Caenorhabditis elegans: one gene and its partner. The protein of the gene in region 2 interacts with the protein of the main gene of each other region in a pairwise test. Each region holds a gene or a part of one and is shown on either strand. Other genes may lie near its edges.

The links.
Region 1: the proteins of ccg-1 (region 2) and tap-1 interact in a two-hybrid assay, tested with the Caenorhabditis elegans proteins (one large-scale study listed by BioGRID).

The regions. Positions count from the first base shown.
Region 1 is NC_003284.9:14,587,765-14,592,619, forward strand, and holds tap-1 (TGF-beta-activated kinase 1 and MAP3K7-binding protein 1), read left to right. Parts: upstream 1-1,859; 5' UTR 1,860-1,893; coding exon 1,894-2,030; intron 2,031-2,390; coding exon 2,391-2,526; intron 2,527-2,570; coding exon 2,571-2,714; intron 2,715-2,758; coding exon 2,759-2,835; intron 2,836-2,888; coding exon 2,889-2,997; intron 2,998-3,041; coding exon 3,042-3,167; intron 3,168-3,340; coding exon 3,341-3,426; intron 3,427-3,521; coding exon 3,522-3,618; intron 3,619-3,771; coding exon 3,772-4,020; 3' UTR 4,021-4,057; downstream 4,058-4,855. Other genes in the region: bltp-3B (Chorein N-terminal domain-containing protein), read right to left, coding at 114-224, 274-391, 442-515, 741-836, 885-990, 1,279-1,322. UniProt on the Caenorhabditis elegans protein: Involved in the Wnt signaling pathway by regulating mom-4 kinase activity.
Region 2 is NC_003282.8:15,269,800-15,277,609, forward strand, and holds ccg-1 (Conserved Cysteine/Glycine domain protein), read right to left. Parts: upstream 6,006-7,810; 5' UTR 5,963-6,005; coding exon 5,912-5,962; intron 5,858-5,911; exon of another isoform or gene 5,837-5,857; intron 5,622-5,836; exon of another isoform or gene 5,598-5,621; intron 5,524-5,597; exon of another isoform or gene 5,503-5,523; intron 5,411-5,502; exon of another isoform or gene 5,390-5,410; intron 5,241-5,389; exon of another isoform or gene 5,220-5,240; intron 5,041-5,219; exon of another isoform or gene 5,020-5,040; intron 4,859-5,019; exon of another isoform or gene 4,838-4,858; intron 4,263-4,837; exon of another isoform or gene 4,242-4,262; intron 4,047-4,241; exon of another isoform or gene 4,026-4,046; intron 3,807-4,025; exon of another isoform or gene 3,786-3,806; intron 3,471-3,785; exon of another isoform or gene 3,447-3,470; intron 3,445-3,446; exon of another isoform or gene 3,423-3,444; intron 3,286-3,422; exon of another isoform or gene 3,265-3,285; intron 3,147-3,264; exon of another isoform or gene 3,126-3,146; intron 2,998-3,125; exon of another isoform or gene 2,977-2,997; intron 2,744-2,976; exon of another isoform or gene 2,724-2,743; coding exon 2,101-2,723; intron 2,094-2,100; exon of another isoform or gene 2,066-2,093; intron 1,914-2,065; exon of another isoform or gene 1,893-1,913; and 11 more.

The DNA of each region.
Region 1 (4,855 bases), on a different chromosome or scaffold from region 2:
TTCCTGAATATTTTTTTTCTAATCACATTTTTTAAGATTCATCTTTGATGAGATATTTTTAGATTTATAATTATTCAAATTGATTCTAGAAATGTTTCTTTTTAAAAATTCACCTGCTTAAACATCAATGTTCTATTTGTCTCCGAGCACGTAATTCTAGTCTGACGCAAGTCTTTCACTTGAGCCCATCCTGGACTTCTGCTCTCCACTGACAATCGTTGAAGCTGAAAAATTTCATTAATTAAAACATTTTCCGGCTGAGCAAACACAAACCATAAATGAGCCTCCGAATACGTCGGAATCAAAGTTAATTTCTACAGAACTTATATACAAAGACATGTTTTCGATGATTTTGTTCATGAAGCCGTATGAACTGCTGTCACCGAGATTTCTGCAAAAACGTGAAGGGTTTAATTTCGAAAATGGTAGAACTATGCTTACCCAAGTGGATTTGATTTTGCCTGTTTTTTATGCTCATTGGTAAGCTCCACATCCACATTGATTTCATCAATGAACTGAAATTATTTTTACGATTATAAAAGCATGAATTTGAATGAAAAAGGAGTTTATGTGAGACTATGACACTTTTCAAAATATTTATAACTTTTTTTTTACAAAATAGAAAACGTTATCAAAAATGCAACATTTGGCAGATTTAATTTGTCTGATATAATTATTCAAAATACGAGAATAAATTTGTCTACTTCAATTTCTAATTCAAAAAAAAGAAAACAACCTACAATCTGAATTGGGCAAGTTTTCAATTTGGTCCATGGTACATTCACAGCTACACCTGTACAGAATGCTCGTTTGATTTTCAACCACGAAGGAAGCTCCTGAAATTTTGAGTTTATGCAAGGAAAGCATGTACATTTAAAACTCACCAAAATCTCTGTCAAAACATCTTCGTTAATTTCAATAAACTGAAGTTTACTATTTCCTTTTAACACGTCTAAGGATATCTGCTCGGGCTTCAAGTTTTTTGTGAATCTGAAAAAAAGTGAATTTTTTGAGGGTGCAAACTTGATTAAATTCCATAGTAAAACTTTTCAAAAAAAATTTGAAATTTTATACTTATTGTCACAAGTAGCAATTACCAAGATATTTTTGGTTTTTTTAAGCGATTTGGAGCATATTTTGGCAAAATTCCCAGTGGCGTTACAAAAATTTTAACATCCATTTTATCAACTAAACAAGGAGGGTATTATTTGAGAAAAAATATGTTTGACGTTGTCATCGATTTTTAATATTTTTCAATACACTCAAAAATTAACTTACTTGGATAAATGTTTGACTAGCTGGTTTTTGATTATTGACGTCATCTTCGGTGTACAATTCTGCAAAAAAAATCGATTTTCAGGTGCGAACTACAAAAAACTACATAAATACACAGAAAATCATCAATAGAACATATTGAATCAAAAACAATGTGCTCATTATTTATGCGAAAATGCATTAATTGTCCAAATTGCGACTATCGGTTTTTGCCAATGGAGCGCGTTTGGCACACGCGGCGGTGTATGCTTGGGAGGGTGCGTGCGCGCGTCGGCATGCCAATTCTCTCAACGTGTTTGTGCTTGGCTAGCCATTGCTGCTTTTTGATAAGAATAGAAACGCGTTTTGGCGTGAGAAAAAAGACCGGATATAGATTTTGAAGATTAGAATTAGAATTTTTCCCTTTTTTTAAATTGTATTTCAATATAAAAATATAATTTGATTAGAATTTTTTGTTGTTGCTCATTGAACGTTTATATAATAAAAAAGAAAGTAGAAGTAGTCAATCAACAAATTTGTTTATCGTTTGTATTAATCGTTTTCTCTGTCATTATTTCTCTAACTCATCGTGAATTTGATTGTAGATAAGCAGGAGAGCAGTCGCAGAGCACAGGCAAAATGGGGGACGACGGGTTCCTCGATCAATACCCTGCCAACACCGATGCGGGCATTGGCACTGTGCACAGCTGCCGCTACTCAAAACAAAAAAATCCGGTGCAGAACAACGATTTTTTATCGTGCTCCATGTGCATACAGTGAGTTTATTCTACTTTTTTTGTTGCAAAATGAAACATAAACCGATCTTAATTAGGAAAAAAGTCAAATTTTACAGCAATTCAGTGGAAAATAAACTGAACGATTACGTGGGAAAATGCAATTTTTACACTTTCCTTGTCTAGTAACACAATGAACAAAAAATGAAAAGAGAAAGTTTTGGAACGATACATTGAAGGTGTTAAATACAATTTGTTTGCAAGGAAGTAAATGTCACAAGTACATCAATTAAAAAATAAAACTATATTTATCGTAATTTTTTGTTAAAACATGAAAGATCATGTAGACACAGATTAGTAGATTACATTAATAGTAAAAGTTAACAAATTTTCATTTTTCAGCAATGGACCCATCAAACTCTACGGTATTTTTTCCGGATTTAATGGTGGCGATTCAACAGCGAAGTTTGTCATGAACAGATTGGTATATGAGATTTTTGGAGAAAATCCAATTACACCAACACTACTCCCTTATCAAGTGATTTAACAATCAAATTTTCAACTCTACAACTACATTTTCAGGTGGTGGAAGAATTTAAACGGAAATTTGAAAACGTTGCCGAGCGTTATTTGTTGATGAACACCGATGATTTGAACAATCGACTGTTAAAGTTGGAGGAACAGTCGGAAACTGGAAATAATGCAGTATCGGAAATCAATCAAAAAGTTAGACTAAATTTTGAAATTATTATAATCTCCCAAATTTTCAGATTCGCCAAGGTACCACTGCCATAGTAGTCATGATCATTAACCAGGACCTATATGTGCTAAATTGCGGAAACTCTCTGTAAGATTTTTGAAACTGTTTGTTAGGAATTTTTGAAAAAAAAAAACTTTCAGCGCAATTGCTATGAACAGTGAGAACGTAGTGCAGCTCAACTCAAATCTACACAATAATGACAATCCTTTGGAGATTGTACGAATAAAAGGGCTAGGGATTAATCCGGAGGTAATTAATTTTTTTTGTAATAATTTTACAAAATAAGTTTACAGACAGTTCTGAATCCAACTAGAGCGATCGGTGACTTACAACGAACCCACCTGTTTGAAGAGACGGAAGCTTTCAAGAATGCAAAAGGACCACCGGTTATTTCTACTCCAGATGTTCAGTATACAAAGGTTTGCTATGATGAAATGTTGTTCTGGAACATTTTACGAAAAACAAGATAAAAGATCAAATTCAATGAAAATATTAGTCACAACACCTCAGATTTGATTACAAAATGAGAACATGTTTTCTTTTCTTTTTTTAAATGCTTATTTTCCAACCAACAGGTAACTTCTACTTTTAGATCGACCCATCCTGGAGACATTTGGTTCTGATCTCCGACGGTGTAGTTCAGAATCTTAAGGAAGTTGAAGTTGAAAACATCCCAACGTAAGTAGCAAACTTATGGAACTTTTTCGTCAATAACCAAGTCACACGTTTATAAAAATAAAAAATAAAATTTTCATCGATTCCCCAGTTTTCAGAGAAGTATCCGTTCGACTAATTGAAGATCACACAGTTACAAGTACAGCGCAGGCATTGGTAGACTCGTTTGCAAGAAAGCATCGCGATGCTTACACGGTTTGTTGGATTTACCCTTTTTTAGATAAGCAAATTTGAATACAATTTACAAAATTTTACCTATTTCTTCTCAATTCAATTAAATTTGTTCAAACATTGGGCGGATGTATTTTGCTATTCCACATTGCCATATTATTTTTATTTTATTTTCAGATGAGCGACGATAAAAATTTCTGTATCAGTAATCACAGAGAGGAAATGACTGTGATTTATGTGAAGCTCGAGGAAGATTACCAAGCGGCTCTTTACGAACAATTCGATTCAGCGATTTCGACAATGGAATCTACAAATGCAACATTGTATGAGCCCTGCTCGACACCATATGTCGATGCTACCAACTTCAATTCTGGAAAAAATTATGAAAAGATGAAGAAACTACTTCTAACTCGACCTTCAAAATAAATATTGTTGCTAGTAAATATAAATATTTGTTATCATGTATTATGTGTTATTTTTGCGGGGAGTATGATTATGATGCTTTCATTACAAATGTAACGTTATATGTGCCTATGTGGTGCCATGTGCCAGGATGTCCCATCACGGATTGATCTAGAAAAATAGCGGGATTTTTTCGCCCAAAAAAAATGCGACGTCAGCGCGTTCTTAACCATACGAAATCAGTGGAGAACTCTGCGTCCCCTTCTCCCGCATTTTTTGTATTATTGATCTACGTAGATCAAACCAAAATGAGTAACTCTGACACCACTTGTGTGCCCTGTTCGACACCTTACGTGGAAGCTACCAATCTCAACTCTGGGAACAATTTTGAAAAGATCAAGAAACATTTTTCAAGTCGACCGTCAAAATAATTTCTATTGTTGCTACTACATAGATCTAAACTTTTCTTTTCCTATTTCTTTGTTTTATTTTGAAAAAAAAATCTCTGACGAGAGATGCGGGGGAGGAGTTGCTTGAGCTGGTGTGAGATCAAATTTCTTGAATTTCACATCAACGCTTTTGTCCTGATTTTGAGACTAGATTTTTCCGTATTGGTCTTTTTCTGCATTTCAAAAAACAAGACGCAAATTCTGTTACATAATTTACCTTTTTCAACAATCGGTCGTTATCGTGAATTTGAAATGATCTGAAACGCTTATTTAGAGGCACACAGATTTGTAGGTTTTGTTGCAAGGAAAGCTTATGTCATCGCTTTTTGATCTTGACAAATGTCGTTTTTATCAGTTTAGTTTTTCAGAGAAAAAAGTTAGGATTTACACATATAACTGGGAGCCAAAAA
Region 2 (7,810 bases):
TTTATTCAAAAATTGTATCTTATCAAATCGCAAATTTTTTTTGGCCAAATAATATACAATACACGAACTGAAACTAGGATTTCATAGGGCTTCTATGGAAGGCAGGCGTGGTTTCAAGGCCTGACGCCTGCCTGACGCCTGCCTGACACCTGCCTCCTCACTTTAATTTTGGCGTGAATTTACATGAGGCGCGGATTGAGGCGAAAAGCAGGCGACAGTCGCCGCCCTAGCTTTTATATAAATAAATAGCCCTAGCTTTTATATAATAAATATCTGTTCGAGGTATCTGTGTCTCCCAAATCGACTACGGTAGGGTACTGTAAAGACACTGCAAGTGGGTTTGATGCTGAACAATTAATTCATTCAGTGCAAAATTTATTTGGTCCAAATTATTACACAAAAAAACCCAAAAAATAAATGTTTTTAGAATGTATATATATTGGGCAAGAGTATCAACATTAAATGTTTGTTTTTAATTGAAAAGTTCCAAAAAAAAAATTAGTTAGCTGGGCACTCAGGTCCACGTTCTCCTTCCTTGCACTTGCAGTCAACATCCTTCATTCTTCTCTCAGTAATATCACGTCCTTCTGGAGTTTTTCCAATAACACAGAGACATCCTTTTGGTCTTGGGAAACATCCTTCCTTAAGCCCCTTGAACTTGTTCTTTAGCTCATCGACGACTGCGGCGTAGTTGGCTTGGGCGCGCTCTCTGTAATAGTTTTTGATTAATTTTGATAACTTCTAAGACAGATGAAACTGAACACGAGAGAAATTAGAAAATTTAAAAAATTTTACCATTTTTTAAAGTTTACGGGCTTTGCGAACTTTTTGAAAGCATTACCCAGAACTTTTACTTTTTCAAAAAATTTCCACTGTTTTATATTTTTTGTTAAAGAGTCAGAAATAGTGACTGCAATTTTGAACATTTAATTTAAAATATAATTTGGTACAAAACATATTATCTTAGTTTTTCATCGATAATTCAATTTTTTAAAAAAATTAGAAAAAGCGCTAATTTGTTACTAAAATTTGAAACCGTGAGTATTTTTTAAGCATCGAAGTTCGAGTTTTGAATTCAGATTTTTGACATTGTGTAATATTGATTTAGAAAATTTTATAAAAAATATTTAGAATAGAAACTTATGTGAAATAGTGATAATTTTACGATAAACATTTTTTGGGTTTAGATTGTGGGATTTATTCAAATTTTCGGAAATTTTTGACTGTAGTTTCTTAACATTGAGGAAATACTGATTATAAAATGTTTAAAATTTGAAACTGTGAAAAAATTTTAGTGCGAAAATTGTTTTCTCGAATTTCACTGCTTCAAAAATATTCAAATTTTCAAAATAACTGGATTTATGTCTATAGGAATTTTCGATTCAAGTTGAAAACATAGAGGAAATGAAATGCAGTGCACTAGAACATCCGTTTAAAATAGTTGAAAAAAAACAATTTACTGTTTCAAATCTTTTTTAATTATTTTCATTCTAGATTAATTAGTGATAATAACTGCATGTTCAATTCAAAAAATTCCAAACGTTAAAAAAACACCATTAATTTTTTTCCAATTCTTTATTTGACTAGACTGGTTCAACACACCTTGAACTCTGGTTATTTGTGTCGTGTACACATATAAATTGGCCAAATGATTTTGCTCTTTGTGTACAAAAATGTATTTTTGGTAACACCATCTATAAATATAGATTTCTAATTTTAAAAATTGAAAAAAAAACATTATTTTTTCGGAAGTTAACGAGACAATATTTGCTGAAACAATATTTTGACTTCAATTTCTAGCTAAAAAGAGCCAGCTGAAAATTGGAAGAAAATCCAGAAAAAACTAATTCTGAGCTCATTAATTTTTTCTTAATTTCAAGTTTTCAAATTGGATAAAATAACCGACTGTGGCATCGAAAAAATAAATTGTTCAGAAACTCGTACAAATTATCTGAAACAGGGTTTTTATTTCAAATTTTTCAAAATCCTGGAGTTTGTTGAACATGCATTCGAGAAAAAATACTGTTTCCAATAGTTTGTAAATAGTTTTAAGTAATTTCTTGTATCGATGCTGCTGACTTTTTAGTTGCAACAACTAACCTCACTGGATCTCTGACGTCATAATTTGGCTGAGCCTGCTTCACATCTTTCACATTAGCTCTGGCAATATTGGCTGGTTGACGTTGAACTGTTGCTCCGACATCTCTCTTTCCACGAACTTTGCATTGATCTGGGTTATTGTAGGCAGTCACAACTTCATTTCCATTGGCGTCTTTCTCATTGCACTTGCATCCACCGGAAGGCTTTGGGAAGCAGTTTTCCTTGAATGCTCCGAATTTCTCCTTAATCTCCTCGTTGAGCTCTTTCTTGTGCTCAGCTGTCACTGATTCAATGGATTTCTTGCAATCAGCGTCTGCGGAGTACTCGGCCACCTCCTCACCATGTCCAAGATCCACGTTGCACTTGCATCCACCCGATGGTTTTGGGAAACAGTTTTCCTTGAAATCTCCGTATTTTTGTTTGATTTCTTCGTTCAAATCCTTCTTGTTCTCAGCTGTGGCCATTTCCACAGACTTCTTACATTGATCAACACTGTCATATTCACGGATCACAACCTCATCGTTTCCCTCCTTGACGTCACAGGAGCATCCACCGGCTGGAATGATCTTACAGTTGTCACGGAGCACAAGTGTTGGACCGGAGGCATCACGACGAACTATGGCCTTGAAGAATACTAATTAAATTAGTAAGAAGCAAGCAGGTTGATTGATATAGAATTGTTGAAACGGTATCTTTTTTTAAATTTTCTATTTAAAAGTTTTGCAGATATAGCCTTGACAACAACTTTTTTCTTCAAAAATGAGAGATATTTCAAAAAAATTTCCGTGTTCAAAACTAGGAATCTTAGATTTAGAAAAAAAAAACTTTTCGTACTGTGTTATCGAATTATTCGTCTTACGAAAATTTGGATTTTTGGAAAAGACTATGTCTAGATTACTATGAAAATAAGGGATACTCGTATTATATACACTTATTGAAACTGTAAAAAAATTTGAAACCTTTTCACATTGCAACATAAAGTAGGAAGCTGATTTTTTATGTGCTTTGGTTTTTTTCCCCCAAAATTTTCCGATTAATTCCGATTAACGCTGAAAATAATTTGAGTGACATATAAATAAGGAATAAGAAACTGTGGAAAATTGGAACTATTGAAATTTATGTTCGAAAATAAAACTGTATAAAATATTCAAAAATTGGAAAACTGTTCCGACATATCCACGACCATTATAAGTTGAAAATTCAAGCTGCTACTAACAAAGAAAAGGAACAGTCAACACATTTTCCAACAAAAAAAACCGTTTTTGAAATTCGGGAACTGTTTCATATATTACATTTAAGCGGTACAGCTGTGCAGGTTTCAATTGTTCCATTAAAAATTTTCCCAGATATTGCCGTATCGTCAGTTATTATAAAAATAAAGGCAACCCAAATGATATGCACTAATTGAAACTGTAAAAAATTTGAAATAAAAAAATGTAAAGAAATTTTAAAAGTTTAGTTCAGAAATTATTTGCAGACGTCTCTGATACTACTTCTTGTTTAAAAAAATCACTCTACTCATAAAAGTTACCTTAAAATATTTTGTCTCTTGAAATATTAATGAGTTGTTGGGTTTTGTAAAATAAGAGAAAAGTTGATTTGGTCTGAAATTAATTTGAATTTTTGAAAAAATTGTTTGCACTTTCATATAATGCATTTACGTAGTACAGTTTTGAGAGTTATGTTGAGATGGTGATTCTTAATTTTTTCAAAATTAATTAATTTGACAACGCATTAATCGGTCAGTCTAACTAGACGTCTCAAAAAGTTGGAACTGTTTGAAAAACACAATGAATTACCTATTCAAAATTTTCTTTATATAGAGACATTAGAAAAAAAAAAGAAAGCTAAAATTTCTTTCAATGTGCCACAATTTTTCCCGTTTCAAAATGTCTAATAAGTTGTTACAATATAATCGGAGACAATCGTGATGTTTAACTCATGAAAAATTAAGTTAATGTTATTTAAATTGATTTTATTTAACAAAAAACTAAGGTCAGAGAAATCAGTAATAATAAAAGAAATTTAACTCTTATAAAATATCTGAGAAAAATGCGGCACACAATTTGTAAAATCAAACTTTTTTAAAATTCGATCTGTTTCGTGTTATGCATTTTTCTGAATATTTGAAAAAGTGAGGCTTTCAATATCATTTTTAGTCAAATACACTATTAAAACTTTGCTCAACACTTCCCCTTCTCTAATCTTTTGTTCAAACTCCCGTGTTCCTTCCGTATTGATCACTACATCAAATTGAAATGACGACAATCGAGCGGGGAAAAATGAAAGAAATAACAGCAACTGTCTCTTTTTTTCTCTCTTTCTTTTTTTGATAACACAGAGTGATAAATGATATACTGAAAAGAAGTATCTAGGTGAGGGGGAAGAAGATGAGATTTTGTGTCGTTGTCTGTTGATTACACTACGCGCTGAAATTTATGAGCACCAGGAGGCCCAGGGGATACGTGAAAGTTTGGGGGAAAATTGTTGTTTTTTTTGAGCTCGAGCATTTTTGAATTTGTTCCAAAAATTCTGGAGAAATCGAGTGAAATTGAATGAAGTTAGAGGTAGTTTAGTTTTGAGTGAAGCGGAGCGGTCGCATCGCGTATTGACCGCAACTTTCAAACTTTTTGCAATTCGATAATCTAGCTGATAGCTTGTATAGAAATTTTTGAAAAAAAAAATTAGCGAAGGTTTCAAGTTCATTTTTTAATTTACAGTGTTTGGTGACTTTTGCTCGTACGCTTAAACTTGCAAAATCCAAGAAAAAAACCGAAATCGGTACCCAAAAAATGCAAAGCCTAGTTTTTGGAATTTGTGTAAAGTTTTGAATTCTAAATATAACAATTGGTGTTTCAAAAAAAATTTGGTTACAGTTTCAACTATATGATTTATTTTTTTGATGTTTTGCAACTTTAGTGTCATTACATTAGACCGTTTTAGTTCGAGAAAGGTAGTTTAGTTTTGAGTGATACGGAGCAATTGAGTTGCATTTCGAGAGCGGCAACACAGCCGAAACTTTCCAATTTTTGTGTAATTCGATAGTTAATTTTGGAAAAAAAAATCAAAGAATGTTTCAAGTTCATTTTTATTAATTTGCAGTATCTGATGACTTTTGCTTGTTCAAAAATAGTAAAATATTAAAAAAACAGAATCCCAAAAAAGGTACAGCATAGTTTTGTGAATTTGTAAAAAGTTGTGAATTCTAAATTAAACAATTGGTGGTTCAAAAAAAATCAGATTACAGTTTCAACTATATGATTTTTTTTTTGATTTTTTGCAACTTTAGTGTCATTGGATTAGACGCTAATTTTTGTGTAATTCGATAATCAATTTTGGAAAATAAATCGGCGACTGTTTAAAGTTCTTTTTTTTTAATTTGCAGTATCTGATGACTTTTGTTTCTTCGAAAACTATTTACATACGCAAAAATCCAAAAAAAACATTAGGTGCAGTTTCAACAACATGATTTATTTTTAGATGTTTTGCGACTTTAGTGTCATAGCGATACGTTCTTATTTTGAAAAAATTTAGATATATTCTTGCAGTGTCAAACAAAAATTAGTGTAAAATTAGTTGCCTGAAGCGTCATGATTTTTGCCAAAAAATTTCAAAATGTTTGGGCTGCTCTATACTGATACTGATGATATATTGCGTATCGACCGCGACGCAACCGCACCGCGTGCGCCGTGGCCTAACTTGGATCAAAATTCACTAAATAAGCCGAAAAAATATAAAACAAAGTATGAAAATGATATCAATTTAGGATAAAAATCACTTATTTTTTACAAAGAACTCGAAACAGACTAACCTGAGAAAGGGCAATCAAAGCAAGAAGAACAAAAAACGAACTCCTCATCATTTTCGCTTGGCTGTCAAGATTTGTTTTGTTGACAACTAAGAGCGACCAGCCGCCGTCGCTCAGACGTTTTATACACTTTTCTTTCGGGGTTTTCTCTTTGTCTCTCCGCCCTCCATAACTCCTATTATCCCTCTCAAAAAAAGGGCGGAGTTGGAAAGGAAAAGGTTTTTGTTATTTTGATATCCGGAAGAGGTCGAGAAAGTGTTTGGGATTTTTTTTTGTAAACGAATTGAATCATTTTGTTGTGAAATTTGAGATTCTGCCACATGATACAATGTGTCACTGGGTGAGTCATAGGGGAAAGTAATAACATATCAGTTATCAGCCAGAGGTCAAATTTACAGAATAAAAAATACTGACGAAAAAATGAAAGTGTGTTGAAAAACCGCTGAAGGTATTTTGAGAATGCTAAAAAGTAAAAGCGAAGAGAAACCAACCAATGGAAATGTGTTGAAAGTTTTTGTTTAGAAAATTTTGTGAAACGGTAATTTTAATTTAATTTTTTCTTACTTAAAATTTCCTAGAATATAGTTTTGAAATGCCATTTAAATTAATATTTTAAGCATATAAATCCTCGGATTTTCTAAAATTTTCTAATCATATGATCTAATTGTTCAAAATATTTTATAAAGTTTAAATTATTGATTTCAAATGAAAAATACCCAAAAATCCATGTTTCTTTTTTATCCTTTTTTTTCAAAAATAACAGACTTATTTAGACTTATGAAAAAAAACTTATTAAAAAAAAACCATATTAAAAAATAGCTTTATTTCACATTTTATATCAATATTTTGAAACCGCTGAAGGTACTTTGAAAATGCTAAAAAGTGAAAGTGAAGAGAAAACAACTAATGGAAATGTGTTGAAAGTTTTTTTAGACGAAAAGTACCAAAGAAGCCAGATTTTCTTTATTTTCAAAAATTTCTTTTTTTTTGTCCTACGTATATTTAAAAACTACTGGAAACATTTTTATATTGAAGTTTTAATCAAAATTTCAGCTAACAAACTCATTTAGACTTATGACATTTAATATGTTAGTATTAAAAATAACGTTATTTCACATTTTATAACAATATATTGAAACCGCTGAAAGTACTTTGAAAATGCTAAAAAGTAAAAGAAGAGAAACCAACCAATGGAAATTTGTTGAAAGTTTTTATTTTGAACATTTTGTGAAACAGTGATTTTAACTTTATTTTTCTTACTCTACATCATTTAGAATATAGCTTTGAAATCAAATTAAAATTTATATTCAAAAATTAAATTTAACGAAAAACTTGTGACTTTTTTCATTCTACTTACAATTAGACCGTTTTTCCTTTATTAGTCTTTTATTAAAACAGGAAATACGGTAATTAAAAACTGTAAAAAACATGTTTATGCAGAAATTCTCGATTCAATTTTTTATTTATAGAAGCTGACGATTATTAAAATTGCAACTTGAAGTTGTAAATCAAAAGTTTGAAACAGTACTATTTTTTCATTGGAATTGTGGAAAAGTTCAATTTTTGGAATTTTTTGAAAATAGAAAGGATGTTATTAAAAACTGCATGAAACACATAATATTGGAATGGTAATTTTTTAAATTAAAATTGCGACGATGCTCAAGCTTCCCCTTTTTCCACCTCCGAAAAAAGAGTATAATTTTGGAAATCTGTTTAAAGACATTTGAAGAATGAATTATTTTCATTTTCAATCGAAAACGTATTTAAAAAGTATATGAAACAAGTTCCTACTGAAGGCTACAATAAAATTGAAAAATATATGTACTATTAATAATATCAACAAAATTTGAAAAAAAATTAATTAAATTTTAATATCGAGGTTTTGAAACTGTAAAAAGTGTT